Linked DNA regions of Drosophila melanogaster. The protein of the gene in region 1 interacts with the protein of each later gene in a pairwise test. Each region holds a gene or a part of one and is shown on either strand. Other genes may lie near its edges. The genes, in order: CG14269, CG14969, CG30184 and Ugalt.

Region 1 (7,011 bases):
GGGCCACTTGAACTATATATGTATTTTATGGACGGCAGCCATGGGAACTTGAATGGGGATGTGTCGGGACCGGGCACAGCAAAGTGCCATAAATAATACGAATAATAAAGTGTCAAATCCTTGAGCAGCCGACAAAGCAAAATAAATCAAATCAAATGCGAAAAGAATGCCCCCAAAAAAAATGCTGGATTTTTTTTTATTTATTTTTTCTGATAGTGAAACACATCCGCATTTGGTGCAATTAGCCTAACACACATGCTCACACAATTGAAACCTATCTTATTGTTCGGTTTATTTTGATCTCGGAACTGGCGCTATTTATCGAAAGATCGTGGCGATTCCACACCCCCTGCCAATTTGGGATGCGGAACTGAATTGAATTAAAGATGCTACTCCAGCAGTCGAATGATTAATTTGACAAGAAACGATGTTCTTCTCGTTCGAAATGAAGAACTATATTTGGTAGGTAGCATGAATTACGATCAAAAGCACACAATTTTTGGAAGTGTGTTTGAACCAGTTCTATTATTTGCATTGGATGATTCCGGCTCTACTTGACATTTAAATGAAAGAGTTCTTTCTTTTTTTTTTTGTCAATTAAACATTCTTAATCACTGCAAACATGAAAGAAATCCGAACGATACACTTAAATGAATTGAGTCGATCAAAAAATAATTGGTTGGAATGGTTGTATTCATTGCAATATTCATAATAAATCATTTCATTCTACAATTTGGAACAACTATTTCATTATTCAACTAATGCCAAAAGCTCCAATGACCAACTCAATTGCCATTGCCAATTTAGTACGTATTAATTAACCATTTCCTGTCACATTATTATTACACCAGCCTGTTAACACAATTATTCATTCCATCTGATAGCGTCGATCTTCAGCTTTTTTGGACACACTTCTTTTTTTCTTTTTTTTTTTTTTTTGGTGGCCGCAAAAGTGTTTTGTATTTATCGTAAGTGTTTCCCTTGGCAAACCCATTATCCCATCCCAGCACCCGAATGAGGCAATCTGTATGTTGTATATGAATCACGGATCGCTTAGATCTGGAAACTTGTCCGGGCCACTTGGCCATAAATCAGGCGGGGCGACAATCGTGTACAAAGCCATGTTGTACATGCCTCGACTTCGGTTTGCACTTGTCAAAAATTCGCACATTTCTGATTCGCTGCTGCGGCTCACATTTTTTTTTTTTTTTTTTGGGTCTTGATTTCTGATTTCTGACTCGATGATCGGCCTCCAAAAAGTGCGTGCGGTGGTGTGTTGTCATTGTCGTGTAGCCGGCAATTAAAATTGGTCCCCTTCCGCTGGCCACCGCACCTCGCAAACCCCCTTGAACCATCAACGAGACCCACATGGAAGCAACTCGAAAAGCGCCCAAGAAATTGGCCAGGGCAGCTGTTAAATAATTTATGAAGTGCGTAGGGTTTCTGGCGCGCATTTCAAGCAGCTCGAGAGCCCCAAACGCAACTCATTTCATTTATTTCACTTCCAAAAACTCCGGCCAAATATTTGCGCATCGCTCACGCACTTTTTTTTTTTTGTGGACTGCCGCGATCAATTTGGTCGAGGCGTCTCCTTTGCAGATACTCTAATTAAAAGGAGTATCTGTGTTGCGACGATTACAAACTCGTAGAATTCTTGGCAATTTACAAATTATACCTACGAATTTTCACTAGTCTTTGTGAATGTTGAAGATTATATTGCCCAACTGTTAAGGCAATTAGATCATTATTATGTAATGATAATGACACAAAAAGAAGAGTATTTACTACTCGACTTCACTATTCATTTGCATTTGTCGATTTTTTGTTTGGCCCGTTTCAATTTTGTATGGTTTTGTTAGCCGGAAAATATTTGGCCACGCAGGTTTTTTTCTGTTTTTTTTTTTTCTTTTTTGTCTTCGGTGCGTTCCTCATTAAACATTTTGGCCAAAAATCCACTTGCGATCTGCATGCAAATGCCGCTGATTAGCCGGGGCGCCGAGTTGGCCATAAATCAATAGGCCTTTGCGCCTTGGCTGCCACACGAGCCACAAAAAGTCCGCAAGTGAAAAGTAAACTGGCCCAGAACGGAACCCAAAAAGTCGGGCTCAAAGCCAGCTGCAATCTGCGGAGAGCGTCTTTGCGATGGTCTGGCCTGCTTATGGTACGGTCTATTCCCCGCCAGATCCGGATCACGAATGTTCGCTCAACCTTGGCGTACAGTCAGGAAAGTCCGTCGAGGGTCGAGGGTTGTCTCTGCACTGCTAGAAAAAACGGGACTCTAATTTCCCAACATTGAGCAGTATTCATACGTACAGTCAGGAAAGTCCGTCGAGGGTCGAGGGTTGTCTCTGCACTGCTAGAAAAAACGGGACTCTAATTTCCCAACATTGAGCAGTATTCGTAACGAAGGGAAAATGTCAAAAGGCAAAAAAGCAGATTTAAAAGGCCCTATACAACACTGCATACTTTACTCGAATGTAACTGTTTTTTTTTTTTGCTCAGTGTGGCCAGGGGAAGTGTTAAGCTTGCCACAGAAAGTGGAAAAAAGAGCCTGATTAATTATGAATTGAGTGTCTGAGCCGAGTTGCCTGCACTTGCACTTCTGGCTTTTTTTTTCGTATTTTCATATTTCACTTGTTGCACTTGCGGCACTTTTTATATTTTTACGCTTGCAGAGCTCGCCTGCAGACTTCATACTGGTCATATGTATATATATATATATATGTATATATTGTCTGTGCGAACAGAGGTGGGGGCCCAAAAAGGGGCGTAGCCGGGGTCAGCGGCGAGTTTTGCAAAGGGGGAGGCACTCGAGCAACAACTTTCGTCACGCCACTCAGTGTAGTTGAAATGAGGAGCGGTTCAGCGAATCGGGCTACCGATATCTTCAAAACTATATATACTTTATATTCTCAAGCGTTATGATTGTGAGAATTTTATGATCAAATCAATAGAAATAGAATAGAAGTAAAACAAGTAAAGTTGATAATTGCAATTGAACAAACAAAATGATTGCTCTTTACAGATAGAACTTGCAACTTGGCCCCTGATCCGCTCCTGGCTCGGCTGTTGCACTTGCCACTTCACTTGCAACATGCACTAATGCTCAACGGCACGTCCCAGTGTCTTTATCATATAAACGGTGCGATTTAAATTAATAATTAAAGCGAGCTTGTGGTTGTGGTCCCCGGTCCGTTTTCAATCGTCTGGGGCCCTAAGTCTTTGGACTTTGGGCCCGGAGTCACGAGACTTTGAGCCATCTGCCGCCGGCAGGTGGATTGCAGGTGGATGCGAGCGGATTAAGCTGCCCACCCTTGATGCCATAAATCAACGGGGACATTGGGCTAGGTGCTCGCTGCTCTGTGCTCAGCCAGATGAGAAGTTGACCGGTCTGGTTCATCGCATCCCAGCGAGCCCATTGAAGACGAGCGAGCAAGAGCTCCGACTAGACCATATATTTATGTATGTACTTATCATACTGACATCTTAGGCGATCTAGCCATTATAGCTTATGACTTCAAGCTGATTCTTAAGTTTTTAGCAGGCTGTTAGGTTAGCTTTGCCACTTCTGTCAAATGGGCTAAAAGCGAGTTGACTAGCTCAAAATTTTTCGTTCGTTTCGTCGCTCTCGAAAATCGAAAATCGAAAATCAGAGGGGACAAACTATGTCAGAAGGGTCAGTTGAAGAGTAACAGATTTGAACGCACTAATTGAATTGAAAACTAGTTATGCTGGTCATGGACGCATTGTTTAACAGCCTATTGGTGGTCAGTTCCGGCTATGCGATCTACACTCTCCATCCAATGGAAACACCCTATGGCTATGCAACAGCGGCCTTGAGCCTGGTCCATGGAATTTTGGGAATGGTGCGAGCGGCGAGCAACGACGATGACGAATGCAATCGGGTGCGATTGATTACGTCGGGCATCATGGAGATAGTACCGCTGCCCCTGACCAATATGGAGCTGTATCTGAAGTCCACCAATCCGGGCTTGGCTTTGGCGCACACATGTTTTGTGGTGCCATTAGTCTACGATATGTTGGCCAAAGTGGTTGACACCGAGGATACCGTAACGGAGACCCTTAAGGAACTAACACTGTTGGGCAACGTTGTGTCCATGCTCTTTTTGGGCGTCAACGAGTCGAATAATATGTACGGCATCTTGGCTGCCATCGCTTTTGGTGCTCGATACGGTTCCGCTTTTCTCGACTACTACTGGAAGGGATTAGGTGCCGAATTCACCCTACTGGCCCACTCCATGTTTGTCCTACTGATGACGATGACCCTTTCGGCGAAATGAAGACCAATAGACCTCCCAGAATATAACCTATCCGCATTCAAGGCCAGCGGTTAGGTTCGTTGGCTTTCAGCTCAATAAACTTGCAATTAATGTTGGCAAATTAAAATGCAAAAATAAACATTAATTGTTTTGTCACATTCGCAGCACGACCAAAAAACTTAAGTGTCTACATCTCTCTTTTGTCTGCCCCTTTTTGTCGCCAGCGCCAGCACACGATCTCCATCATCCAAAGATCCAGAGAGATCCAGCTGTGGATAACATTTTAGCTTCAATTTACAACGTCAGCGGCGAGCGCCAAATGAGCCAAATGAGCTGATCCCCATTCAAAACCAAAAAAAAAAAAATGAAAAAACAAGGCTTGAGTTAAGATGGACGTGCTCTTAATATATACACTTAAATACCAAGATGCATGATCATAAATGGATTTTGTTCTTCCAGCAAAAATCAAAAATTCATTTAAAATAATATCCCAACCAGTTGATAAGAACCGGGAAATACATATGTCTGTATTTCCGGGAGCGAGTCAAGGACATGACCAAATAAATGTGGCCTACTTTTGGGAGCCGGGACGCGTCAATCTCGTAGGCTAAATGCTAAAATACCGGGGCCATTAAAACCAAACAACAAAAAACAGCGGAAAAGAGCTGCGAACTCGGCGAATGGTTAATAATTTATGCATTTTAATTAATTGCCAGTTGCGGGACCCCGTTGCCAGGTTTTTATGATGGCTCTGAGCGTTCGGAGATCGGAGATCGGTTATATACCCCCCCTTTGGCGCTAATCATGTCGTCATTTGCATTTCAAGGGACTAGCTGTATTCAACAGACATCCATTTTTACAAAAATGCAACAAAAAAAACCAATCACAAAATTCGCACAAATTCAATAAGAACATAGAAGCCAAGAATATTATTGCATCGAGACGAATATTGTACACCGAATGTGACTGCGCAAGTTCAAAAACCTGCAGAGCGAGTGACTCAGTCGGTTAAAAAAGCCGGCCGGCATTGGCGAATGTCTCCTCTTATTTTTCTCATTTTATTTTTGCCGGCAGCTTTTGCGTAGTTGTATTGGCGTGTTTATTAAAAAAAAAAAAAGAAAAGAAAAAGGCAAAAATACGTTAAGCAAAAACAAAAAAAAAAAAAAAAACGATGCATGCAAAATGAATGCGGACATTGGAGAGACGGAAAGAGTGCGAATGCGAAATACAGCTAATGAATGCGAAATGGAACACAGAGGCCACAAAATGAAATGGCCCAGAGATACGCACCAGACATACCCTCGAAGATAAAGTTTTTTTTTTTTTGTAAACAGTGTACCAAAGATGCTAGCCAGAAATGAGCAGTAGAATTGGAATGTCCTCAAATTGCAATCCCAAAAGTTAAAGTTAATACTCAGAGCATGTTATGATACCAAAATCCAAATGAGCGTAAATTGAATATGCCTACTTGCCGCCACATGTATCTTTAATGAATGCGCCAGCCAATGTGTTCAAAAAGAAACGGTCAACGGTGCGGGTCGACGCCAACGCCACCGACATCTTTCGTTATGTATGTATGTACCATACATATCGCCCTATATATATACATATATATATATATATATATATATATATATATATATATATATATACGCACTCGATCCGTATCTGCATCTTTATCCGTATGCATGTGCTTTGGGCGACGGCGCGAAATTCAAAAAAAGCTGCGCTTGCGCATTTTTTGTTTGACGTGATTTGTTTACGAATCTTAACAAACTGTGTACACAAAATGATTTAAATTACCACGAAAGGCGTCGCCGTTCAAATATTGTGCGTACACAAAAAAAAAAAACAAAAAAAACGCGGCTCAGAAATCACAGCTCTATTTGCACTGGCAAAATCAATATCATTGCGAAATGATTTGGCAGCTGCATTGAGCGAAAGTGATCTGAATTTTAGAAAACTTCAATTACAGTATATAATGCAGTAGTAGGGGATTTGCCCAATAACGAAAACATTTTATTGCATCTTTTCAAATCCAGCGTAGTAGCAATATTTTCTCGCTGTGCTAAAAAAAACCCGTTACAGCCGAAGTGACTCAAACTCAGACACATTCATTTCAGATACTACGATGGCGTGGGAGAGAGCAAAAAAAAAACTAGACCTGCATTCGTATGAATGATGTGAACGACATAATATACTACTACACTATATACATACATATATACCCGAGTGAATCACTCGATTCGCAGAACTACCGACGAATGCAGCTAAATTGATTGTCCGATCACGACGATGCCGACAAGCCGGCAATTGCAAGTGGAATGGGGCAACCATACTGTGGATATATATACGCACGATATATACTTTAGATGGTTTTGTGAATTGTGAATGGAATGGCAATGCAGCGAATGATGTGGGTCAACTAACTTGACCGATTCGATGATGCATTGTACTTTCTGGGCCGGCAATCGGTTAAATAGATCCGATAATGGCCATAATTCATTTACCACATTCATTCTTTATTCATACATAAGCTGCGTTACAACTTGAACTTTTAGTTTAAGTCCAAACTATTTCCTATTAATCCGTAGGCATAACAGGCATATTTCTATGGAATTGTAAATATCCGAATGATATCTACATATACGCTAATATTTTGCTGCATAGAACGATGAATCAGATATCCGCAACAGAACAAAACAACTCGAAATGGTTCTAAGAAATTCGA
Region 2 (8,270 bases), on another chromosome or scaffold:
TTTCTAATTACTTCCCAAGTAATTTGCATACACAGAAGAAAAAAGCGACTATTAGTTATTTCTCAGAAATAAACAACAAATAATACCCAATTTAAAGTAGTTACTAACAGAAGTACAGAAGTACTAACAAATTCCTATAACGTAACTCGTAGATTCAGTTCTTATACCTCGACCAACAAATCTATTTATTTAGAAAAAGTATGCATATAAGGATGTCTTCTTAAATAAGGAATAGATTCAAAGAAAAGTATTTTAGAAAAGAACTTGGAATCATACATATGTACATCATAATAACATCATTCACACCGATCGTGTCAGATGGGATCTTTTGCCAAAGGGGTGCCTCATTGCTTATCAATTTGGCAAGTGACATTAGCTATTTTAAATGTTTTCCAAATAGATTACTTACAATCATTGATGTTGGACTTGCACCCAGAGATAAGCGCAAATAGGTTAAATAATATTGAATGCATGCATTTGACATTGTCAACCGAAACGGATCGCAGAAGGCAATCGCTCCTCTGAGGAATCGAGTTCAGCAAGTCAATTGCCATTAACTCCGGCGGCCTTTCATTTAATTTAGGGGTAATTACAATTACAACTCCTCCCAATCACTTGCAGTCGAGCAATTGTTTTATCTCTATGATTCAGTCCCTTTGATTTCATAACCACTCGAAAGTGACCGCAGTTCAAAAAACTACAGATGGGATTGCCTAATGCATGCATATTAAAACTGTTTTATGCATTGCAAGTGAATCAGTATAATTTGAGTATTTGATTGTTTAAAAACAAAATGAATACAAAGGCAACAATACAATTTACAGCTAAAACAGAGTTTCTTTTTACCAATTTTGACTGTACCCGCCTCATAATGCTGACATAGCGATAAGACCTATTTCGTAAAATCACAAAAAGTCGTTCTAAATTTGCTTTATGGCCTTTGATTGATGGGTAGGCGGTGTGGTTCGGAAATAAAGCGGTGATTGATTGATTGACTTTTTGGCTGATTTTGAATGGGGATTATGCACAGTTTACACTGGTCAAAAAGGGGAAAGTAGTCACTTGAAATGGAATCGATTGAAACGAAAAGTACAGCGCGCAAATTGCGCAAAATCCAAAAGAATGCCGCCTTAAAAACTCCAATAAGAGCACGGCCACAGCAACAAGAACAACACCGCCCAGCTGCAGTGCAGACATCTAATTGGAAAAAACAACAACAAAGAGCAAAGATATAAACAAGTCCATGTGCAGTCATTTGGTTGTGCTTGGGTCTTTTTTCGAGGGGAATGTAAAAAGAATTGAAAAATGGACCAACTGGGTCTCCACTCCAATAGGAATTCTACTTATATCGTTGCCAGTTTGACAGCCACTGTACGACTGCTGTCTTTTGCTGTTGTTGCACTTTTCCTGCAGAGATCGGCGTCTGTTTACAAACAGAAACACTCGGGGTGGTAAGTTTAGAGCCTTTAGTTGTTCATTTTAATTACTTTGGTTCCAAATAGAGTTAACGTTCAACAAATCGCTGTAACGCATAACATATAAAAACAACTACACTTTAATAATTAAACTCTTTGTTGCAATGCCTTCGTAAAGAGGTTAAATGCCATGTTAAATGTTATGTTATTATAACACCACTTTGTTAAGATTCCATTGAACTAATTTAATCATTACAAGACAACATTTAATGTGTTATTATCGAGCTGGCCGCAAATGTATGCAAATGGGCTGCTGCATTGGGGGCGTTGGCTTTTCCCCCCGCCTCTGCGATGCACACACCCCCCACACCACCACCCCACTCCATACGACGCCATGCCTTGGCCTTGTTGATAGTCGTTGGCCTCTTGGCTGACCCGTTGAGTGTAATTGAATTTAAGCGGCAATTGTCTTGCGAATGCATTTATTGCCATTGCACTTTGCAAATCACGGTGCGCAGCCAGTGGCTCTCAAACTTTCACGCTTAACGGTGCTGCAGCATGCCTAATGAGCGAGCGAGCAGGCAACCAGCCAGAGCGAGACAGCCTCTAAACGAGCGGAATGCGGTTTAAAAATAAACCAAGCCCAGAGCGAGACGGCCAAAACGGGTGAGGAGCGGCAAGAGGGCGGGGCCAAAACGTGCTTGGGCTTAGACCCTATTTAGCCTAGTTTACGAATGGCCAGCACAGCCCAGAAAAAAAGAGAGCCTGGTTTAGAGACACCTGTGCCCAACGAGAGCGGGCGGAGGGAAAAGGGGGAGGGAATCCCCATGCACCGTACCCTCGTTATGCTAATTCACAGCAGAACAACAGGCAAGCCTCCACAACTGAGACGCTCTAGGAAGTCTCATTTGTAGTAAGGATTTGCAATTAATTAAGATTTGAAAATAAGACTTTATAAGCTTTAGAATCTTGAAGAAGCTTTGAGAACCACTTGATCTTACAACAAGAAATAGTTATAGATTGGAACTCACACGTTCGTAGTTACACTTTATGAATACTTAATATCTTGTTAAGCTATTTTCAGCTAAGTGAGGTCCTCCAAGCCAGACTAGACTGTATGTCTGTATATGACAGCCTGGCAGTTTTTACGACCCGTTCGCACGCAACTTGACCACAGTGGAAGTGGATAGGTGGTATTAAATGGAAGATCGGCCCGGGATCGGGAGTGCCCTTTACCGTTTACATTTTGGGAGCCGCAGCGATGTTATGCAACACCTTGCGCCGGGTTTATTGGCTTATAAAGTGGAGCATCGGACCGTAAAACATCCCATATTTTTTTTAACGATCTTCTCTCTTTCATTCCGGTTTTTGTACTTCGCTTACCTTTGACAGCCTCGTAGTATCCCAAATCCAGCGTGAATGATTTACGTTAGTATCCTGGCGCACAAGAAATTATATTTATTCTCCAGATTTCTGGATATCTGGATGCCTCCTGCTTCGCAGCTACTTCTTTCCGTTCTCGTTCTTAGCTGCTGCAATTAACATAAATTCCCGTATTTATTTGTTTTTTCGCCGACTGTTTTCACTACGATCTTTCTCTTCCTTTCGCCACTCTTCCCACTTTTCTTATTCACGCACACAAACAGGCACACACACGCACAGAGTGAAAATCGAAAGATGCAGACGAAGATGGTTATAAAAAACAAGAGAACGCGAACAGGAGGAGGAGAAGGAATGGAGGAGGATGGGGAGCAGAAGTGGGAGAAAAACCGGAAAGTTGTTTTTGTTGTTCGACCATAAGCGGCGTTCTTTGGTTTTGGTTACAAAAACAAGCCGAAAAAGTGTTAAAACCGAAGAAATCTTAACGTTTTTCAGCGCTTTTTGGGGATTCTGTTTTAATTTATGCCAAAGAATTTTTGTCACTTGTTGCTGCTCTTCGACCTTAATAACAAATTCCAATGCACACCAGTTGCTTTCACACGCAAAAACCAGATTAGTGGGTTTTTTCTATTGTTCTTTTTTTGTTTTCATTTCTGTTTTGGGGCAGTAATTAGAAATAGCCGCGTTTTAAACACCGGCGCAAAAGCAACAACAATGGTATTTTCTAATTAGCACAAAAACTACAACGAGCATAACAACAACAATGTGCAATGTGAGCGGCTTAAGAGAGCGAGAGCGCAAATAAAAGAGAGAATTGAAACGCTGATTACGTTTTACTTATTGGCCCGCTTGTTGTTTCTTTACTTTTTATTTCTTTTGCACGGCTTTATTTATTTTTCAGTTAGCGGTTTTGGGATCCAATTTTCAGTCCGCGCGCACGTCTTGTCAAATCGCCGATCAGAGAAAAACTGGCTATTCAAAATAGCCGATCCGGTTCTCAGTGGAATTTGAAAATTAAGTCATGGTATTTGAGGTTCGCGAAACATGGTCACACTTCTAGGTGCAGTTATCGATGCTTATATCGAATTTTGCGCTCTCCGTTGGAATTTAAACTTTATAGAATTGCATTCGAAAATATATGTGCTTTAGGCAATAAGCACAAAGTAGCAAATATCACTATCCTGTTGTTTTGGTTGTGATAATTAAGTGCATTACGCCATTTATTGTTTGCTTTTCCTTGAACCATTCATGGGACCTAGATTGAGAGACGTTCTTACAATTATATTGTGTGTATTGTATATTTATCCAGACAAAAGGTAGTATCAATAAATAAAATCGAACGACGCTGGCAGCGACATCGACTAGTCCAGCCCTATATAAGCTCGTCGAAAGCACTTGAAAACAAATTCGATCCGAATCTGAATTGATTAGTACATCAAAGAAAACAATCACCACGAAAACTACTGAAAATGATGCAAATCAAGTTCCTGTTCACCTTCCTCGCTCTGCTGATGATGGTCATCCTGGGCGCCAAGGAAGCCGATGCCGACTGCCTTTCCGGAAGGTACAGAGGTCCCTGTGCCGTCTGGGACAACGAGACATGCAGGCGGGTTTGCCGAGAGGAGGGACGAGGACGAGTGAGTGGTCACTGCAGTGCCAGGCTGCAATGCTGGTGCGAAGGATGCTGAATTTCTACCGAAATTGGACAACTTCTATAGACCCAGAATGATTATGTATCAATCATAAAATTCAATTCCCTAAACATTCACAATTATTTAAAATAAAATCAAGTCAAGAACCAATATTTATTGTTCAGATCAATGCATTGTTATATTCGGCACGTGGTGAAATTGTAAAGGCAGCCGAAAAGTCTGGGTAAATATTTTTATCTCCACGAGATAAATTTCACCACAGCGTCGTCGTACTGAGTGTAAAACTTACAGATCGGAACGTATTTAAGCGCTTATTCTGAGCTGAGAGCGATCAATTTCTTGAGGATTGCATTTCAACAATTACTAAGTTACCAGACCTCCTACCGAAACTATGGAAATCAAGTTCCTAATTGTCCTGTCCGCTGTCTTGATGATAATTTTCCTGGGAGCGGAAGAATCACATGCCGACTGCCTTTCCGGAAGATATAGGGGTTCCTGTGCTGTGTGGCACAGGAAGAAGTGCGTAGATATCTGCCAGAGGGAAGGGCGAACCAGTGGACACTGCAGCCCCAGTCTAAAATGCTGGTGCGAAGGATGCTAAAAAAAGATGTACATGTAAGAAGAGTCTATTCATGTGCATGGAGTAATAAATAGACAACCCTTTCTTATCTATGGATAAAAATTTTTATATATTTTACTGATCATACGGAACTCGATTGATAATGGAAAAACCCCAAGTTGGGGTTGTTTTGGGTCATTCATATCCAAAACGATGTATTTTAGCATTACTACTGCCCCGCTTTTTTTGCATCTATTTATGTAACACACTTAACTTCCTTTCATTGAAATATACTCATTGTGAAGGGTTGTTTACAGATTTTTCGCAAATAAATGATAAACAATGCTCAGAGTTTGATCAGCAGTTGCCTAAATGAAACGTGCAATTTTAAAGTAAACTTCGTGATCTATTTTTGATATGATACTTACAGCAGCTGATCTTCATAATGGGGAAAAGAGGAATTTGGTTAGGGAATTAAAATAAATCAATGACAATTGATTTTACAATTACAATTTCGGTGAGAAAACTGGCAATTACTGTAAAAGTTAATTTGAAAATTCGCGCCAACCTCTTAGCGTTGCCAGATGTTCCACGCTTTCATAGCGATTCCTCACTAAGAAAAGTCGAAGTGTCAAAGGCCCGATATTTTTGGACATCTAAATGATTGCTATTGTTTTGTTTATAAATTACACCAAATAATTGCTTCTATTGCAATTGGACAACAATTTGGTGTGCAGGTAACTGAATGCATGCAGAACTATTGATGGATGATGTCTCCAGCCGAAATACAATACAAAAATATATGATTTTATAAAAGTATTTGTTAAATTGTGATATTGTTTAGTGTGCAGAGGGTAAGAATGTGAGTTTCGTTAGTAATGCCAACAGCAACTCACCCGACACTCCTCTCCAGAAAGAATATATTTCATAGAAGAACTTGGGTGTGCGAAAAGGGAGCACCCGTATCAACAAACAGAAGCACCAGGGGATTCGCCGGCTTCTCGCCCTCCTGGTTTCCTCCTTCATCTCGTTCAAGTAGGCGAAGAGCAAAGCACACCAAAAGATGCGGAGTTACATTGCACTCTTGGGGCTTATCCTAACTCTAAGTGGACAGTTTAACATGCTGCTGGCCGGGAAGAAACATTCCTGCGAGAAATTGCTCGCCGATCTTGGCGATGCACAGAGCAAGTTCATCTACTGCGCCACCACAAAATCAGTGCCCGTGAATTTGTGTGAGGGCTGCGTCGATCTCTACCGCAATCTCACCAATGATTACGGAAACCTAATTGCGAACGCCAACTGTTCCAAGCGTTATCTGAACTCGGACAGGATCAATATAGTGGCTACCACCCAAGGAATCCTAACTAGCCTGTGGCAAAAGGCCAACTGCGAAAGTGTGCATCAGTACTTTGTTCATTTGGGAATCACTGATCTATTCCTACTTTCCAGATTGCTTCAGGGATAATTTTTGGATTGTATACAGCGATAACTCAACAAAGTTGCAAAATTGCTTAGAATCTGCTAGTTCGGATTTAGTTTGCTTCAAGTGCAAAAATGATTACGTGAGTCTAAATGATTTCTACCTTAGCATGGAAAAGAAAGTCGGTGGAAGTGTGTGCTTCGATCTGCAGGACAATGTAAGTTTAAAAATTTATATTTACATTTGCCTATTTTTACACCTTTACTTTTGCTTAGATGAACCGGACTCGTCTGAATTGGTCGAAAACGCTGAAATGCTGTCAACGCGAGGTGAAGCTGACCAATTTTCTCATCGCCGTTGGCGTAGTTGTCCTGCTGCCCATTTTCACCTTCTATATTACGGCAGTTGTAGTGACCAAGCGGCGGGAGGCCAATCATGGCTTGCTCAATGAGCAGGGTAGGAAAGATCGTCATTGGTTAAGCCCATATTCTGATTTTTGGCATTTTAGAACCTGAACTGGACGCGCCCTCCACGTCGACGCTTATCACGGCTGCCGTGCTGTCCACTTCAACAGAGGATCCTGTTGCAATCTCCGCCCGAACAGAAAAGATCGCCAATGTATTGATCGGTGCTGGAACACACCTGTTGGACGAGTCCAGTGATGAAGAACCTCCTAGGGGGAAAAAGGTTGCTCACAGTCCCGCATCCGACTACTCCAGTGACGATGAGCCTCTTGAAAAGCCCAAACGCGCGTAACAAAATCAAAAGCGTTCATTAGAGGAACCTTCGATATCAGCGTAAGAAGAATGTTTTTTAAATTTGAAGAAACTAGAGAAGCAAAGCTCAAAGCATTTCAAGGATTTTCGAATTTTATTATCTTCTATGCTTCTCATATATAACTATATATTGCCTTGAGCCTAACCAAAAACAAAACACTTATATAACAATTGTATAGCCATATACATATGTGATATATTATATATATATACATGGCAAATCAAGACGAGAAAATCATTTTTAGCATTATATATGCACTTTATTGTTGGCAAGTAAAACTGCACTTAAGCCTACGCGTTTATAACAAATTAATGCGAAAGAAGATCAGGGTCATGTCATCATGGAAAGGGCCCTTCCACCGGATTTGCGTACATGATAAGTTTAGCATCTAGCCTAACACTAAGATAACGATTAGCAGAGGAAGTGCATTGGCCGGGTTCGTTCGTTGGTCGACTTCGGATCCTTCCCTAATCCTAATTCCTTATCCGTATAGATTGCCATGGGCGGACGAGGTCTGGAAATGGACCAAACTCCCGTGGGTCTGCAGCGCCGGTTGGTAGTAGGCCTGGTGGTAGTGCGAGGGCGGAGCCGGCTCGTTCACCTGAATCTGATGGTAGTTGGTGAAGGGCTCGTGCTCGACCACTTCGCGTACCGTCTGGAATGGATGATTGACAACGATGCGGCGCTTGTGGAAGGTCTCGCTGGTGGCGGAGGCATCTGTTGGCGCGGCTGTTGCTGCGATGACCCTCTCGTTGGGTTTCAGATGGCCAGCGGCTCCATTAAGCGAGACGTCCACATCCGGCTGGGGCTTCGATTGGGACGGAGTAGCCTGGGTGGCGGATACCTCGGAACTGGGTGCTTCCACCAGGCGCTGGGACTTCTGCTGCCGCAGCTCTGCTCTCTGCTGTCCCCTGTCGCAGTCCGGAGCAATAGTGGTGGCCACCACTGCAGACTTCTCCTGGTCACTGGCTATCTGGATTTGGATGTGGGTGTTTTGCTGCTCCTTCTTTGGCTCCTGCTTCTGCTCCTCTGGTTTGGGTGCCTCAACCAGCCGCGAGGACTGGCTC
Region 3 (7,084 bases), on another chromosome or scaffold:
TAGCATACGAATGTATCTCGCAGATACAGATACGAGTAGACCACAGTAGGCACATACCTTTGCGGCATACTTAACGCACTCGAGTGACAATAATTGAATTCATTATGGGCAGGGGGAAAAAAAAAGTTGGCGGAGCCCAGAAACGAAAAACCAAAAACTGGCAACTGGCAACTGGCCGACTAAAAACGAGATGAGATGAAGGGCGCGGGGCGTGGGAGTAGTGGGAGTACTAGGATTAACAATGGCGGGTAATTAACCTGATAGATCCACTGGCCTTGGGAGACCAAAAGCGACTCGAGAGAGTCAGTCACCAATCGGCGATTCTGTTACCATTTTTATTTGGGCTACGTGCGGGTTTTACTTATTAGCCGCCTAATTACCATATAGTCATACCACATAGTAGCCGCTTCTTAGCCATAAAGCGGTCGTTCTGGTCCGCTTTCTAGCCATGATCTTCGTGCAAGTTAAGTTTTCGCAAACCCAGCGACCAGAAGAAGATACACAAACGGGAAAATCTTTATCAGCGCGGAGGTCAACAAACCGCGGATATCGCTCAAGTCGCTCCCTCCCCCTCCCTCATCACATAAACCTATATATATATATATATATACATATATAGCTGCCTTATCAGATAATTGAGCCAAAGGTAAGCAGAGTGCGCTATGTTAGCCGTCTGTGACTCAAAAGCCATAAACTTGGCACTCGGCCTACGGTAATTTCAGGCACCATAAAAGTCCGTTCGCAGCCCGTTTTGATTTTGCCTGGACTATTCAATAATGGTTTTTAGCTTCAGATAATATATACTTACTTATAAACTTAAAATAATACCTTTCTTTAATGACTTGAAACCGAACTAAACATAATTATCATTAAATTTACACACGAATAACATTTGTGAACTCACCATAAAAAAATGTGAATTATGTGTGCGATTGATCAAATGTATTATGCATTTGCATTTTTGGCTTTCTTCTGTTCAAATTTATTCGCGAGCCTTTTGAATAAGTCTCAATTCATTCAAAGTACGGGCACGTGCATTATTTATTTAATTTGCGCAAATTTTGCACATATTCGCAAATCAAACGCCGAATAAAACCGCACAAAGCAACGAACAGAGGCAGATCGGAGTATCTACGTAAACCGCAGGCATCGAAAGGCTAAAAACTATAAACTGATAACTAAAATCCCAGACGGATGGCCAAAACGGAGAGCCAAGCCGAAGGCGTCGCAAAGTGCACTGAAATTGAAATTGAGAGTGGAATCGGGCGATCGAGGAGTATATGGAATATATGGAATCGGGCAGAGTCTCACATAAATAATGAGTGCGCCCACATACATAAGCAAGCATACAAGCATACACTCGCAGAAAAGACGGCTTATTAAACAAATGTCTCAGTGGCTGCTCCTAATGTTTTTTCGTGCTTGGAACCCTTGTGGCGACCAAGTTCTCGCCCATTGGAGGCAAATTTGCTGACAATTGCAAGAGATTTTTCTTTTTATTTTCTCGGCTTTCCCAGCTATTTTGTTTTTGCCCTCGCCTCGCATTTCGCCCAACTTCTGTGGGGTGCGGGTTGGGGAGGGATGGGGTATTCTTGGGCTGCACTTGGTGGCACTTGGTGGTGCGGGAAGTTGGAAGGTAGTCTTATTTCAATTTACAACCAAGTGACGAAGTATCACAATTCAATGTTTAAAGTTTTTATCACGTTGTGGACAACAACAACTGTAGCGAAAACACAGCGCCACACTCCAACAAAACTAATGCGAACAGTGGAGCCTCATAATGGACTAATCCGTATCGAATGTAATCTTAAAACATTTCAATTTTAACCGCCACTTGTAAGTATGCAACACCAAAGGTAGATCCTACAGACACAATATTGTCAGGCTAGCAAGGCTTCACTGTACTTGCTTGCCGGCTGGCAGGCGAATACAAACAAACAAATGGAGCAACTGCAGCTAACTGCCAGGCGACAGATGCGGGCAGATGCGAGGGGCAGGACGGAGGCAGGAGGCAGGAACGAGGGGATAGGGAGCCCCACATACTGGGGCATGGGCATGGGCATGGGCAGTATGCAAAGCCTTCCCCCTTTTGGCACCGCGCAATATGGTTAATATGGCGCGACATTTCGTCCGCCGCCGTTCGCTCAGCTCGTTCGCTTAGTCAGCCCGCTGCGCTCGATGCTCGCGGGGCTATCCGCAGGGGCAGGGGGAGGGGTAGTGGGGAGTATGGGGGGCACTAAATGTTTAGTAACCAACTGAAATAGTAGCACTCGTGTTAGTATCGGTTCATGAAAAACGAACGGCAGCGAAATAGAATTGAACGAAAAATAAATGAGAGCCACTTCGGTTTACACAGAGTTTCGCATGTAGCTACACGACTTGCACTTGGATTTGAATATGAATGCGCCACAGACGGGGTCAGCATTATAGGGCCATCATATAGTAACCACATTGGGTTTGAACAATGGAGTAGAAGCACAAATACTAAGTTGTTGAATCTGAAATACGCTAGTAACAATCATATTTCAAGTATGTTCCTATACCATTTCGCCTAGTTGGCTGACCCCAGCTGTATCTGCATGATCAGGGGCGTGGCCAGAGGGGTGGCGGTGGAAAGTGGTAGCAAACGTCGTCAGCGTAAACTGATTACCACCGGACAATCTATGGAGCTGAACTAGCGGCACGTACACAGCGTTTTTGGGGCCAAAACCCGAGATGGGGGCTTACGGGGCTCCGGTGCTACGATGGGAACCTTCGTTTAGGGAGTTGGGTTCGTCGACGGCCCGAAAAGTTCCAGCTAAAAGCGACTGCACATAGGAAGTCGGAGTTAAGACTTCAATTACAATGGTGCACCACCCATGGGTCGATTGTGAAATTATAGACGAACCACCTTTGGGTTCCACGAATCCGAAATGAGGCGAAACGAAAAGAGTGCGCCAAAAGCCAAAAGCGATTACCAATTAATGGAACGTGCTGCCAGCTAAGATTCAACCACAATTACTACTATTTCCATATGATAAGTTCAACAAACAATGACAATTCTGCATGCATTGACTTCAAGTAAGTTAGCTAACTTACATATGTATGTATGAATCACCTATTTTTGCTCTAATTATCTCAGCCTTTGTATCTCATCGTAACGAACTCATCACCATAACGATTAATCTTATTCACTCAATCGACTCGGAAACTCGCCGTTTTATCGTTATCACCAGCCGGCTAAATTGTTGCGAAACATAGTTGAAATTCCGAGACTTTGGGCCCAACACCCACCGCAAACTGCACGTAGTGAAATTTAGCTGCCAACTAAACCAAACATGCTGCGATCTAGAAAATGTATCTTTCAGATGCACACGCTTTCCACACACACCCACACAACCCCAAGTGCGCACACATAACTCCAGCTTGGCATTCCAACTGACTTTGCACACCGAATGGAACACGTGCTGCATTTGGACCGGCTCGAAGGACCACGACCGGGGAATTGGGGCTAGCAGCGGAGGGCGGAGGGAGTGGATTGGGGCTGGGCCGCCTGGTGGTTCGGTGGCTCGATGGCTTGCAGCCACAGACAATAACAAAGGCCAAGTTGAGTGCAGTTGGCAGCGGTGAGTCATGCTCGCTCGCTCGCTCGCCAGTAGCACACCCACCCACTCACTCGCACTCGCAGCTGCAGTGGGCTCTCTTCGGGAAGAGTGGCATGTGGCATAGTGCTCCCGATAAGAGATTCCTGTTGCTGCTGCTACTATACAACATTGCACAGATCGAGTGAATTGTAAAGGCGAAAACGGGAAATGATGATTACACACTCAGTTTTCCGCCTCTTCCAAAGTCAGAATGGAAATTGGGAAAGTCCTAGAAATTGGAATTTCTTGAAGGGAAGAATTCCAATCTTCAGAGTTAGCCAAGGCCCACTGTGCCTTTCGTTTTGGCACGGCGTCTAAGTGTTCATATGCACATGGCCGCGAGTGTGCTAGTCCCGTTTTTTTTCGTTTTTTTTCGTTTGTTTGTGTTGCCTCGGGCGGCAACTTTAGTGGCAACGGCTAACTTTTAGCAAAAGTTTTAGCAACGAGTACCTGCAACTAACTAAAACCACAGGCACACAGACCCAGAGCTCGAGCGCCGCCCGCAGAAGTTTCCACCACGCATCGAACTATGAAAATCGGAAAAGTTTGCAGACAGAAATTTCCAGCCATGCATCCGCACAATGGCGAAGTGGACGACGCAGTGCGTTCCCCCCGCAACTCACCGCACCGTTCGCCATCGTCATTAAAGCTGGACTCCTCCGCAGGCTTAAACCAATGCAAAAATCCACAAAATCGACACAATTCCGGCAAAAGTAACGAAAATCACACGCGGCGCGCCAAACAAACTTCCAAGAACCAAAGGAACTGTAAACGAACAGCTGTCAAAGTGCGCGCGCTCCAAGAGACGGGGCTGTTATGCGGCGAACAGCTGATGGCGCCAGGGCTGCACAGCAGCGGGCTTTCAAAAGGCACAACTACAGTGAGCACACGAGCAGGTGAACGTTAATATTTAATTACTTGAGCTATTTGAAAACCTCCGAGTTCCTAATCCGCTCCTCCTCCCTCTCCTTGGCATCCGAGTCCGACTCGGAGGACGAGACCTGCCGCTTCCGGCCGGAATGCTCCGATGGCTGGGCGCTGGTCAGCATCCTGGCGGCGATGCGCCGAAAGAACCAGAAGCGACTGAGATAGGCCTCCGCGCCCCGGCTGATGAAGTACAGCTGCAGTGGTCGCTTGCTCCGCTGTGGATGCATCTTCTGATTCGCCCGACTGCGTGAGTGGGAGAACATGAGATCCAGAGCGAAGGTGCAGTGCATCAGATAAATGGCGCCGGCGTACAGAGCCACAATGGCGTTGTCCCGACAGCACGCATAGAAGCTGGGCCAGCGCTCAGTGCGGAACTCCTCCAAAGTGGCCACATACATGTTGGCGTACACGGTGACCATGTGCAGGCCACCCAAGATCCCACCGAACAGCGCCTCGTGCTTCATCGTCGGCCGCTCGGCGTAGAAAGCTCCAATCAGTGATATGAAGCATATGATCACCGAGCCGCCGTACGTTCCGCACAGCAGGAAGATGTGCGGCACACCCTCCTCCATGAAGCAGGTCCAATGGACGAGGCAGCAGCCCAGGCTCAGCAGCAGCTCCATCATCTTGAACAGGAACCAAACGGGCTTCTTGGAGCGCACCTGCATGTTTGCCCGATTAAATGGTTATACTACAATTGTGACAAGATATATAGTATATGTGGATACATTTGGTTCCGCACAACGGACTTTTAGCTACAGGCCACCTACGACTAAAGCAAACTTACGACTAGGATTTAAAGGATAAATAATATTAATAAGTATTGATAAGTATAAGGTATTAATCTAATGTACACTTTTGATGTTAAACAACTCAGCTGAACCGAACTAGGATTACTCGCTCCTCCCACAATTTCTTGTGCAAGCAATGTCCTCTACTTCCGCCAGTATTGGGTGAACCGATGAATCTGCTCCACCAGAGCCGGCATCACCGCCGTAATGGACACGTCCAGGAGGCTCTGCAAGTGCTGCACTGCCTCCTCGTCTGTGAGGCCCAGCTGCAGGTTCTCCTCCACCTTCTTGACCGCCTTGTCGGGCTCGAGAGCGATATCCGGCACAGTGGCGTCCACCATCAGAGAGAACAGGTTGAGCATCACGTTGGCATGCCGCCGCAAGTGCAGGTACGCCGTGTAGCACTGCTTGCGGAACTCGTGGTGATGCTCGGAGCTGATGCCGCCCATGGCCTCCACCATTTCCTTGCTCAGCTTCATTGGCGGCGGCATGGGCTTGGGATCGCGTCCCAGAATGTAGCCGAAATCGATGTGGAAGAGCTTGCCGTTGGTGGTCAGCAAGAGGTTGTCCAAGTGCCGGTCGCCCACACCTGCGAGGAAATTCCAAGGATTAGCGGAATCCACCTGGTTACACTCCTTTAGTCTCACCCAGCAAATAGGTGATCACACAGTAGCCCGCGCAGCTCTTGATGTAGGTGTCCATGACCTCCGCCGAAATGCCGTAGGGTCCATTGTCGCACGGATGATGCTTGCGGAAGAAGTTGTGGATGTTGCCCTCCCGCGCCAGCACCTCCGCCACGGTGCAGGAGTCGACGTACTGGAGGAAGCCGTGCTTGGAGCTGGTGGCCAGCACTTTGTAGGGAGTCAGCTTCAGGTCGAGGTTCTCGCGCCTCAGCAGCTTGTCCATCAAAGTTATCATCTGCAGGATGAGCTGATCCTGGCGCAGATCATCACCGTGCTTGAAAATGGCCGCGTACTCGTGATGGGCAATCGAAGTGACAAAGGTGAGCCTGCGAATAGGATTAAGGATTAGGATTGAAGTATTCAGTGAGTGAGTAGAGTTTGTTGGTTGGTCATGGCGTACTTGGCTGGCATCAGGGCGCTCTTGAAGAGCGATGTGCGCATGGGCACGATCTTGGTGATGTAGATCTCCGGATCCAGGGGAAACGGAATGGGCTCGAAGTTGGTGAAGTTCACCTTGAACATGTCCTGTTCGGCCAACAGTTTCTGGAACTTCTCAGTCTTCTTATTGCGATTTCCCGGCTCCTTGGCCACCAGTTTCACCAGTTTGACCAGCTCGTCGATGAAGCGCCGCTGCTTCCGGAGGTTGTAGAAGATGCCTCTCAGGTTGAAGTTGCCTGTGCGGATGAGCGGATTAGAGAATTAGGGAATTAGAGAATGAGCCATGATTTCGTTAAATTACACCCACCGTTCTCTAGCACCTTCAGAAACATCTTGAGCACCATGGCGTACATGTCGTGGGCCCTCTCGTCCTGCTTCCTCACCGACTCCACTTCCTCCACCTCGATGGACAAGTACCAGTAGAAGTAGTTGGCCAGCGTGGCGTTCGTGCAAGCGCGCTGGATCAGGAATGTGCAGAGATTGGCTGGAACACTGCCGAAGCTGATGCCCTCGGCCAGCATTAGGGCATTGGAGTTTGAGTCGCAGGGCAACGAGCTGCTGCCCGGAGTGGCGGGAGCAGAGGGGTTTGGCAGCGCAACCGATCCCTGACCACCACTGCCAC
Region 4 (9,074 bases), 730 kb from region 1:
CTGCGCGTCTTCGAACTCGTGATGTCCCTGCAGACTCAATCCAATGACGTTGGCCTCGCCTGGCTAGATTAGCGTCCCCACCCACCTCCTTAGCACCTAATGTCATGTACCACACTTAATTTAAATCAATACTCTCTTCTGTAGCCATCGCAACCGCATCACTTCGCAGCCAATAAAGCTTATATTAAGTCTTCTGGCGGATGGCTAAGATTTTGCTTTAGTTTTAAAAATGTTCCGTAATCCCACACTCGCAAATGCACATACTTTTGAATGGTATCTGCTGAATTTGCAACACGTTATGATTTTTATTAAGGTGTTTTTTTTTTTTAAGGGTAGAGGCAAAGGTTTACTCTTTTATAGATGAACTAAAGTTCTTCAGTTAAGAGGAAACCTTCCTTGGCCAATAAAGCAAAAAACTGACCCCAAAACCTTTGTTGTGCTTTTACTTATCGTGGGTTGAAAGTTGTTATTACTTTTTGATGGAGTAAAATACGCCTTTTATTCGTCTAATATTTATTCAAAGGAAATGAAACATATCGATATGGAATCACTCTTAAAACACTGTGCGAGTAATGCGACTTTAGTTCAAATACAAATATATAAGTCTGGGCTGGCTCAACCTAGGATTTCTCAAAAATAAAGTAATTGGCAATGAATAAATAATGCACATTCAAGTAAATATATATACATATATATGATCTTCTAAAAAAAAAATTCGAACAAAAGTAGTTGTGGCTGTGAATTGGCCGAACATCAAGTGTAACTTGAAAACTATAAATCGTTACAAATCTTAGTCTAAACTTGAGTGCAAGTGGATATTTACAAAAGGATAGGCACGGTATGTGTGGTGTTGTCCAGTAAATACTGCTGGCATTCCTCAGCATTCGCAAAGTAACAATTAAAATGATCAATAAAACGTGCATTCAAGCTGCATCATTTCATTAACTACACTTTAGTTTCGCTAGTGAATACCCTAAATACATTTAAATTACATAAATCATTAAGTATTCTTATCGCTGCTTTACATTACAATTATCGTCTCAACAGAAAGTGCTACGAATTGTCCAGACGTTAATATCCATCCTAATATATATACACACAAAACGTGGGGAATATCAAGGACACCGGATGCACCGGATACACCAGAGCAATTACCGAACGGCGGCCTCCGGGTTACGGACAAATACTGTTGGCAGATCCGGATTCCTCCAGAGCTAGACGCGCGGCAGCAGCTTCTCCTCATCGCCGCCAGGACCATGCATAGTTGGCTTCGGCGCCGACCTGGCCGGATCGTAGCCGTAGAGAAATATGGAGGCGATGACCAGGCCAGCTCCGAAGCTGAACTGCAGCGTGAGATTGAAGTCGAAGATGTATATGGAGGCCACGCACGAGATGATGATGGCCAGCGAGGTGGCGAAGCCCTTGAGAATGTTATCCGCGTACTTGACCACCACGGCAACGATCAATCCACCGCCGGCCTGCAGCAGGACCAGGTACCAGACAAACAGATCGTAGCCCTTGAAGAATCCCTGGTCGAAGATCCTACTGCCGTCGTTAACGAAACAGGTGAGCAGGCCGAAGGGAATGCTGAGCAGACTCAACTGCACATTCCGCATCCACACGGAGATCTCGGCACCCTTGAGGATCTTCTCAAAGTAGATGCCCGCGAATCCGGAGAGGAAGCAGGCGCCCAGTGCGGCCCACAGTCCGAGCATCCTGTTCTGCTCGGGAGCACCGCCAGAGGAGGCGGCCGTGGCTGCAGCTGCGGCACCACCGGCTGAGCCACTCGTCGGACCCTCCGTTTGGGCCAACTGCACCAGGACGATGCCCATCACCAGGAGCAGCAGCGCACCCCACTGCGTGTTCAGCAGCTTGCGGCGCAGAATGACAACCGCGAACATGGCCGTGGTGAGAATCTTCAGCTGGTACGTCACCTGGTAGGTGGCCGCATCCAAATGGGAGGCAGAGACGTACAGCAGATTGTTTTGAACGATATAGACCAGCGAGGGGACGCACACCTTCAGCGTGTCCATGGGATTCGCAATGATGGTCTTGTGCAGCGAGCGTACAAACTTCTGGGCATCCTTGCCCTCCTCGTTGAAGACCAGGAACAGGCACGTGATCAGTTTGGCGAACTCTGCCATGAGTACGGCTGCGAAAGAGGGCGCAAAATGGCAATCAATCAATCAAATATATGTACATATATACTAATAAGTCCAAGTATCGCTGTTCGGGTTTTCAAATAAGTCCGGTTAACTTACACACAGAGTCACCAAAGCAATAACCAAAGTTTAATGGCAAAATGTAAACCCATATGTAATTCAAGAATGCCAACCAAACCTCCTTGAGCTATCGCGGTAGAAGTTCCCCAACAGTTTTATCAAGCTATTAGGAGCTAAATGCGGAAGTGGCTGCTTATCAGTTTCTTTGGCAGCTTCACATCTACCCGAACGACCATTCCCCGCCTGCCACTGCTCCTACACCACCTTCACCTCCACCTCTTCGACTCGTTTGCTTTTACTGCTGATGTTGCTGCTTGCGTGGACAGACCCACGTCGAGGTTTCGTGGAAGTGGCTCTGGGCAACGAGGTGAATCTGCTAAGCGGTGAACCGGCTTGACCTGCTGAGCCCGACGACCTGTTGGACTTTTGGATAAGCACTCACCCGTGGAGCTGAGGAAGATGTCGCCTGGCCGGGTGCGGGCGTAGCGCATGCTGAGGCCCAGGATGGCATTCTGCAGGGTCAGCGTCAGCAGGCTGATGTACTTCAGCGTATTGGCGTTCACTGTGCGATGGGAATAGGAATACGTGACGGGGGCGGGCAGGAGCGCCATGTCAGTACCGCTGGAGTAACGCCACCGCACTAAAGGCCAAATACTCACTGTGTATGCTATTCATGGTGCTACGCTTCTAGCTCTATTGTCTCAACTCCAAAACCAAATAGAAACCGAAGGCAAACAAAACGCCGTAGTTGGGGGTACACAAAGACTCCGTTCCTGGCCAAGATCAGTTGTCGGCGGGCCGTTCCGTTTGGCAGTTCGTTCCCTTCAAGTTGGCCAGAAAAGCAGAAGAGCGCAAATGAAGACGACTCCACTGGACCGGGCGACACGTAAACAACAATCAGAGCCCGAAGCTTCTGCCAGCGGCGGCTTTTTATCGCCGCCTATGTGGTTGTTGTTGCTGCGCGCCAGGGACGTGGTCCTGGGCTTGCAACGGGGGTCATAAATGCGAAACCTTCTTAATTGAATGCAAACAAAATTTAAAAGTGCATTGTGCATTTCAGTAAAGTAAATACACCTTACATATGCTCCTGGGGGATGGATCCCCATTTTAAAGCAAGCTACGCCCATGGCGTGCAGCTTTTGTTGCTATTTTCGCAGCAGAGACCGACTTTTCGATAGTCACAGTGCTGGCATTGTGGCGGAACTCGCGAAAAAAGAAGTTGCTTGCAAAAAAAGCTAGATATACAATAATCGGGCATTGAGATTGCTTAAATTAATGTATATATTATGACTTTAAAATTAAAATTAAAATTTAACAAGAGAGCATGGGGATCGAAAGTAGAAAACAAGAAAACTCATGGACGAAATACATAAATACATATTGTGCATGCTTGTTCTACATGCACATGTATGTTAAATTTTTAAGCCCAGCGAAATTTATTTTTGCCGCACTAGGTTGGCTATTTACTCAGCTGCCGTTGAAAATACGTCATGAAAGCCAGTATATGCAGACAATTAAAATAAACATAAAACATCAAATTAAGCCAGTGAATGATGAACAACCTGTTGGCGGCACCTGATAATTGCGATGCATCAAATTTACAATACAACATTACAAATATATTGCCATTTGGGGGGATTAAATAAATTAATTTAATCAAATGCAATAAATGAAAACATTAATAATTTCCGTGTTGATTTTAAATCTTTTACTTTTTTGAGTTCATCACTAGAATTCGCTTTCGCCTGCCGCCTATCGATAACATTGCTCGGTGTGGCGATTTCGTAAATAGTTTTCTAACTGAATAATGGTAACAGTTGGCCACTTTAGTTGATAATTCATAATTGCAAAGACCAGAGACGCCAGGACACGATGAAGGAACAGCCGCTAAAGGAGATCACACAGCTCATCCACGCCATCAAAGTGGGGTAAGTCGTCGGTTGGCAGGCACTGCGATTCATTTGGTTGTTAAAGTGGCATATGTTTTGCAGGCTGGTGGAGGGATCCTACAACATAACCAACAAGACGCTGGACATCTTCAAGTACATCATCATGAGCAAGAGCTGGCAGAACGCCGAGTGAGTTGCAAGGGATGGCACACCAAGGATAACACATTAACTGATAAACAACTCCCCCTCATTTGACAGTGCTCTCATGCAGATTGTGCGCGACCAGTGTAAGATCCTGCAGGCAGCTCTGCCCCAGGAGACGGTTACCTCGAACATTGCCAGGCGGATCCTCAAGCTGACTCGCGAGGAGTTCGATCTGTTGCACGCCAAGGTGCAACACTTCGCGGACGACTCACAGGCCTCGCTGTCGCTTCACAAGCTAGTCACGCAGACCAGCGAGAGCAACGTCAGCGTAGATTACTCGGTGCCCCAGCATGGATTGCGGGAAGCGCTGCTCGACCACCTGCAGGAGGTGGAAACGGAGCTGGAGACCAGTTCGGAGAACATCTGCGTCCAGGCCGAGGAGCACATCCATTCGTCGGAGATCATCTTGACACTGGGACACTCGCGCAGCGTCGAGAATTTCCTCAAAAGGGCGATCAAAAAGCGTCAGTTTCTCACCATCATCGTAGCCGAATGTGCGCCAGCCTGCCGGGTTAGTTGGGTCTCTTTATGGGACGACAGTATTTGTGGGGTGTAAGAAAATGCTCTTATGTTGCTTAACAACTGCCTATGTCTTTTACAGGGTCACAATTTGGCCGCCAGCTTGGCCAACGAGAAGAATGTGGAGATTGTTGTGATCCCAGATGCGGCCATCTTCGCTATGATGTCGCGCGTCAACAAGGTAATAATCGGTACGCACAGCGTGCTGGCTAATGGAGGACTCAGAGCGGCGTGTGGAGCGTATACAGTGGCCCTGGCCGCCAAGCATTACTCCGTGCCGGTCATTGTACTGGCGCCCATGTACAAACTCTCACCATTGCATCTGTGCGAGCAGGACGCCTTCAATATGGTCGGCTGTGCGGAGGATGTGATACCCTACGATTCGATTCCAGCGCGCGAAGCCAAGGTATACAGTCCCATGTTCGACTACGTGCCTCCGGAACTGGTCACCCTTTTCATATCCAACACGTAAGTAGTGCGCTTATCGGCCTTTCGACTCTTTTTTATTGCATTTATTGGATTCTTTTTTTACTTAGCGGTGGCCATGCCCCCTCGTATGTGTACCGCCTCCTTACGGAACTGTATCATCCCGAAGATTTGGAGATTTGAAATCGTGTTTGTCTCGTTGTTTTAGCAATTCTACCAATAAAGTCTACAGTAAAGTAGCAAGCCCATTTCGATTTGGATTGATTTAAATGCATCAATTTCGTAGACATTTATAAACTTTAAAATTCAACAATAATTATATCGAATAAGCAATAACGGTGGATCGGTTTTCGATTTAAGAACATTACTACTTTATCTTGGGTTGATATAGTTAATTTCAGGTAGCACGTTTCTCGTAATTTCCCTGCGGCACACGATCCTCAACCTATTTTTGAATATTTTCAAGCAGCTGCGTGAAGTCGGCCAGGCTATCGGCATAGTAATCCGGCTGCGCTTCCACCGGGGCGTTCAGCATGTCCTCCTTTGTTAGGCAGCCGCTAAGTACCAGCAGGGACTGGAAGCCGCAGGCCTTGCCGAACTGCACATCCTGCACCAGTGTGTCCCCGATGAAGATGCAGCGCTTGCAATCACGAATCTCGAACATTTCGCCAAACATTTCGCCCAAAATGGGAGACGGCTTGCCCAGAAACGTGGCCTCGCGTTGCGTGTAGCGTTTAACGTGCTCCAGGAAGTCAAAGAACCCGGCCACATTGAGATTCTCCGCCAGTGGCATGATGACATCGCTGCCGCCGGCTATCAACTGGCAGTCGTCATTCTCCTGAAGGTGCCTAATGGCCTTCGCCAGCTCCACGTACGAGAGGTCCAAGTGGATGTCGAATAGCACAGCGCCCACGGGCTTTTCAATGGCCAGGTGATCCACCAGCGACGCGGCCGTCAGGTGCTCCTTGACTTGCTGAAGGAGAATGATATGAAATTTAATAGTCACACGGAAGCTCTTGAACTAAATATATTGTATATATATATTTATAAGTAATAACCTTCCCCTTACCAGCGATTCAAACTCGATGTTGTGCTTACGTAACGTTTCGTTCGCTTCGAGGGACATGAGGGAGTATACCCGCTCCCCCGGCTTGTGCTTCTTCAGGTACCGGACAATGGTCTTCACCGGATGAACGATGTCGTCCTCCTGGACGTTCTTGGCGCCGATGTGGCGAAACTTCTCCATGTAATCCTCCTCGGACCGGAAGCTGTTGTTCGACACGAACTTGATCTGCTTGCCGGCCGCTTTCAAGGCATTGACGGCGGCTCCCGTGTTGGGAATCCAGCCCACCAGGAGCCAGACGACGCCATCGCAGTCGCTGATCACCAAATCGAAGGAATCGATGAACTGCCGCTGCTCCTCGAGGCTGAGCTTCAAAATGTGTCGTGGTGGCGACATGGTAATGTTGGTTTTTTGGCTTACAGGAACGAATTGGATGCTGGTTGCGCGCGCACGGAAATTCCACAGCCGACTAACCGCCTTTGCCGGCATTTAACCTTCAATGTCAACGCATTGACATTGTTCCCCCGGTTCCTCGAACCCGAACCCAACCACCCCTCGCCCATACAACCCTATGCCTACGTACATATGTGCTAAGTATCTTTTATTACACGATTTAGCGAACCCGAGCGGAGTGGCTCGTCCGATAAGATTCCGTATGTAAATATAAGATCTTCTGTGTGGAACGCGGCATGAAAGACTCGTGCGATTTGTTGTCTATTTCACATTCCCATCTGCCGGACAGAGCGGATAGCAGTCCGGAAAATACATACATACATATGTATCTCATTTGCTTCCTAGTTCGGATTTACAATCAAGCGTACGCGTGATTATACCAAGTTTATCTTAAGGAACAACTTATAAAATGAGTCTGCTGCATTCGTCAAATTTTGGTTATTCATGCTTTTGACTGTCATTTGAATTTACCGGATATAATTTAGAACCATATAGATTATCGAACTAGTTCCACTGCCAAATGTGACTGAAATATATTGGTCTCGAAATAATTGACAGCCTTATTATTGAATTCAATTCTATGCAATCAAAGCGAAACCACAAACCCAAAATGGCTGTAAAGAAAAATTTAATTAAATTTCAAAGGCTTTTGGCATGCTATAAATATTATATGTATTTTGCGATTCACATGCTTCCTTTTCTTCCTTTCAATTGCATTTCTTACAAATCCTCTGCGATACACGTGATTGAAGGCGATTGACATACATACATATGTATGTATGTAAGTATTGATCGGTGGTGCATCGGCCTTTTGTTGCTGCTGTTGTTCGCTCAAGCTTATAACAGGCAGGCACAAACGTGTACAGTGAACACTCGAGGAAACATGTATGAGCACGCTTTCCTCAGTTCGAAAAGCAAAGGTACAGTTGACGCATGGAGAAACTAATAAGTATGATGACAATTGCGAAAGTTCAGCAGCGTAGACAACAGAATGCCTGTCGCCCTACGGAGGTCCCACTGTGCTGGGCCGTAGACCCTGGCCACACATGTCAACACCTTGACATTGATGGCTGCGGCATTTGGCCAACGGAAGCGGAGAGGGGGAAATGGAAAAGCCGCCGGAACGGAGGAAACCACAAATGGCCAATAATTCAAATTCAAATGCAACATTTCAATTGGCGGGGTCCGGAAGACGCTCGTGTCCATGTCCGCGTCCGCGGCGGTGAAGGCAAAAGAACTGGCCAACGGGGCGGGTACTTGATGTGCGAGCGCGTGTGAGTCGCGTCGCTTGGGGTTCGGCTGCGTTTTTGGTTTGGTTTGGTTTGGTTTGGTTGGTTTTGGCTGCGGCTTTTTGGTATATCGCATCACAAGTCCAAATCGATTGCCGGGCCAGCTAGTTTAGTTAGGCGTCTCCCTGATAAGATACGAAAGTACGAGTTGCGAACGCTTGCGAAGAATTCCGCCAGAAGAAAAGCACATTCGGCCACCTGAGCTTGGAGCAACTGTTCCCGGCGGTTATACAACCAGACGACAACTAGTCAAAAACTAAGGAAAATTGCCGAAAATGTCTACCCTGGCCAATGGTGGAAAGGAGGAGGATCTAAAAATTCTGGCTCAGCTGAAGAGCATCGAACAGATCAACGAGCAGCGCCGCATATTTCTCAACAGCACGATCAATGAGGAGGTGCCGGAGGCCACAAACGGATCGACGGTTCGGGAGGAGGACCTGGAGAAGAATCTGAAGGCCATAGACGAGCCGCAGTCTACGAAGATGCCCCCGGAGGAGGTGGCGAAGAAAACGCCTGATGAGGTCCCAGCCCAGGAGCAGCAGAAGGAACCCGAAAAGGTGGAGCCAGCCAAACCAGTGCCCCCCAACACGCTCACCCTGAACGTGAAATACGCCACGCTGCCAAGTCCGAATGTGGTGACCCTGCGATCCCCACTTTCGCCGCCCCCTAAGCCGCCAATGCTGGGCCGCACCCGCAGTACAGGTCCCGCCGATGGCAAGGGTCCAGCGAGCAATGGAGCTCTCTCGCCGGACAGCTCCATAATCCGTCAGAGCTTTCCCGAAGGCGTCATCACGCCCAGCAAGCCGGAAAAGAGCCCTGCCACGCCCAGCGAGGAAGGCCCGCCGACCGTCTCCGCCCGCCACTACGAGGGACTGATCGAGGAGCTGAGGTGTCCCGGCTGTGCCGGCGCCATGAAGGCGCCCATCCTTCTGTGCAAGAGTGGCCACAGTGTCTGTGAACAGTGCACCCGCATTTTGCTCATGTGCCCGCTCTGCAAGGTAAAAATTGA

Evidence for each region.
Region 2: the proteins of CG14269 (region 1) and CG14969 interact in a two-hybrid assay, tested with the Drosophila melanogaster proteins (one large-scale study listed by BioGRID).
Region 3: the proteins of CG14269 (region 1) and CG30184 interact in a two-hybrid assay, tested with the Drosophila melanogaster proteins (one large-scale study listed by BioGRID).
Region 4: the proteins of CG14269 (region 1) and Ugalt interact in a two-hybrid assay, tested with the Drosophila melanogaster proteins (one large-scale study listed by BioGRID).

What each region holds. Positions count from the first base shown.
Region 1 is NC_004354.4:3,432,378-3,439,388, reverse strand, and holds CG14269 (uncharacterized protein), read left to right. Parts: upstream 1-3,581; 5' UTR 3,582-3,676; exon of another isoform or gene 3,677-3,726; 5' UTR 3,727-3,728; coding exon 3,729-4,301; 3' UTR 4,302-4,446; downstream 4,447-7,011.
Region 2 is NT_037436.4:3,332,357-3,340,626, reverse strand, and holds CG14969 (uncharacterized protein), read left to right. Parts: upstream 1-5,648; 5' UTR 5,649-5,860; intron 5,861-5,919; 5' UTR 5,920-6,069; coding exon 6,070-6,400; intron 6,401-6,455; coding exon 6,456-6,643; intron 6,644-6,701; coding exon 6,702-6,882; intron 6,883-6,934; coding exon 6,935-7,182; 3' UTR 7,183-7,508; downstream 7,509-8,270. Other genes in the region: Drsl6 (Drosomycin-like 6), read left to right, coding at 4,265-4,483; Drsl1 (Drosomycin-like 1), read left to right, coding at 4,839-5,048; CG14961 (uncharacterized protein), read right to left, coding at 7,685-8,270.
Region 3 is NT_033778.4:23,562,213-23,569,296, reverse strand, and holds CG30184 (uncharacterized protein), read right to left. Parts: upstream 5,325-7,084; 5' UTR 5,219-5,324; coding exon 4,547-5,218; 3' UTR 4,517-4,546; downstream 1-4,516. Other genes in the region: Pi3K59F (phosphatidylinositol 3-kinase 59F), read right to left, coding at 5,485-5,930, 5,989-6,350, 6,425-6,698, 6,770-7,084.
Region 4 is NC_004354.4:2,700,624-2,709,697, forward strand, and holds Ugalt (UDP-galactose transporter), read right to left. Parts: upstream 3,123-9,074; 5' UTR 2,898-3,122; coding exon of another isoform or gene 2,882-2,897; 5' UTR 2,834-2,881; coding exon 2,665-2,833; intron 2,153-2,664; coding exon 1,215-2,152; 3' UTR 501-1,214; downstream 1-500. Other genes in the region: Lint-O (L(3)mbt interactor in ovarian somatic cells), read left to right, coding at 1-72; eIF2Bbeta (eukaryotic translation initiation factor 2B subunit beta), read left to right, coding at 4,095-4,150, 4,214-4,300, 4,370-4,826, 4,917-5,302, 5,371-5,443; CG2680 (uncharacterized protein), read right to left, coding at 5,706-6,233, 6,330-6,719; CG2681 (uncharacterized protein), read left to right, coding at 8,341-9,063.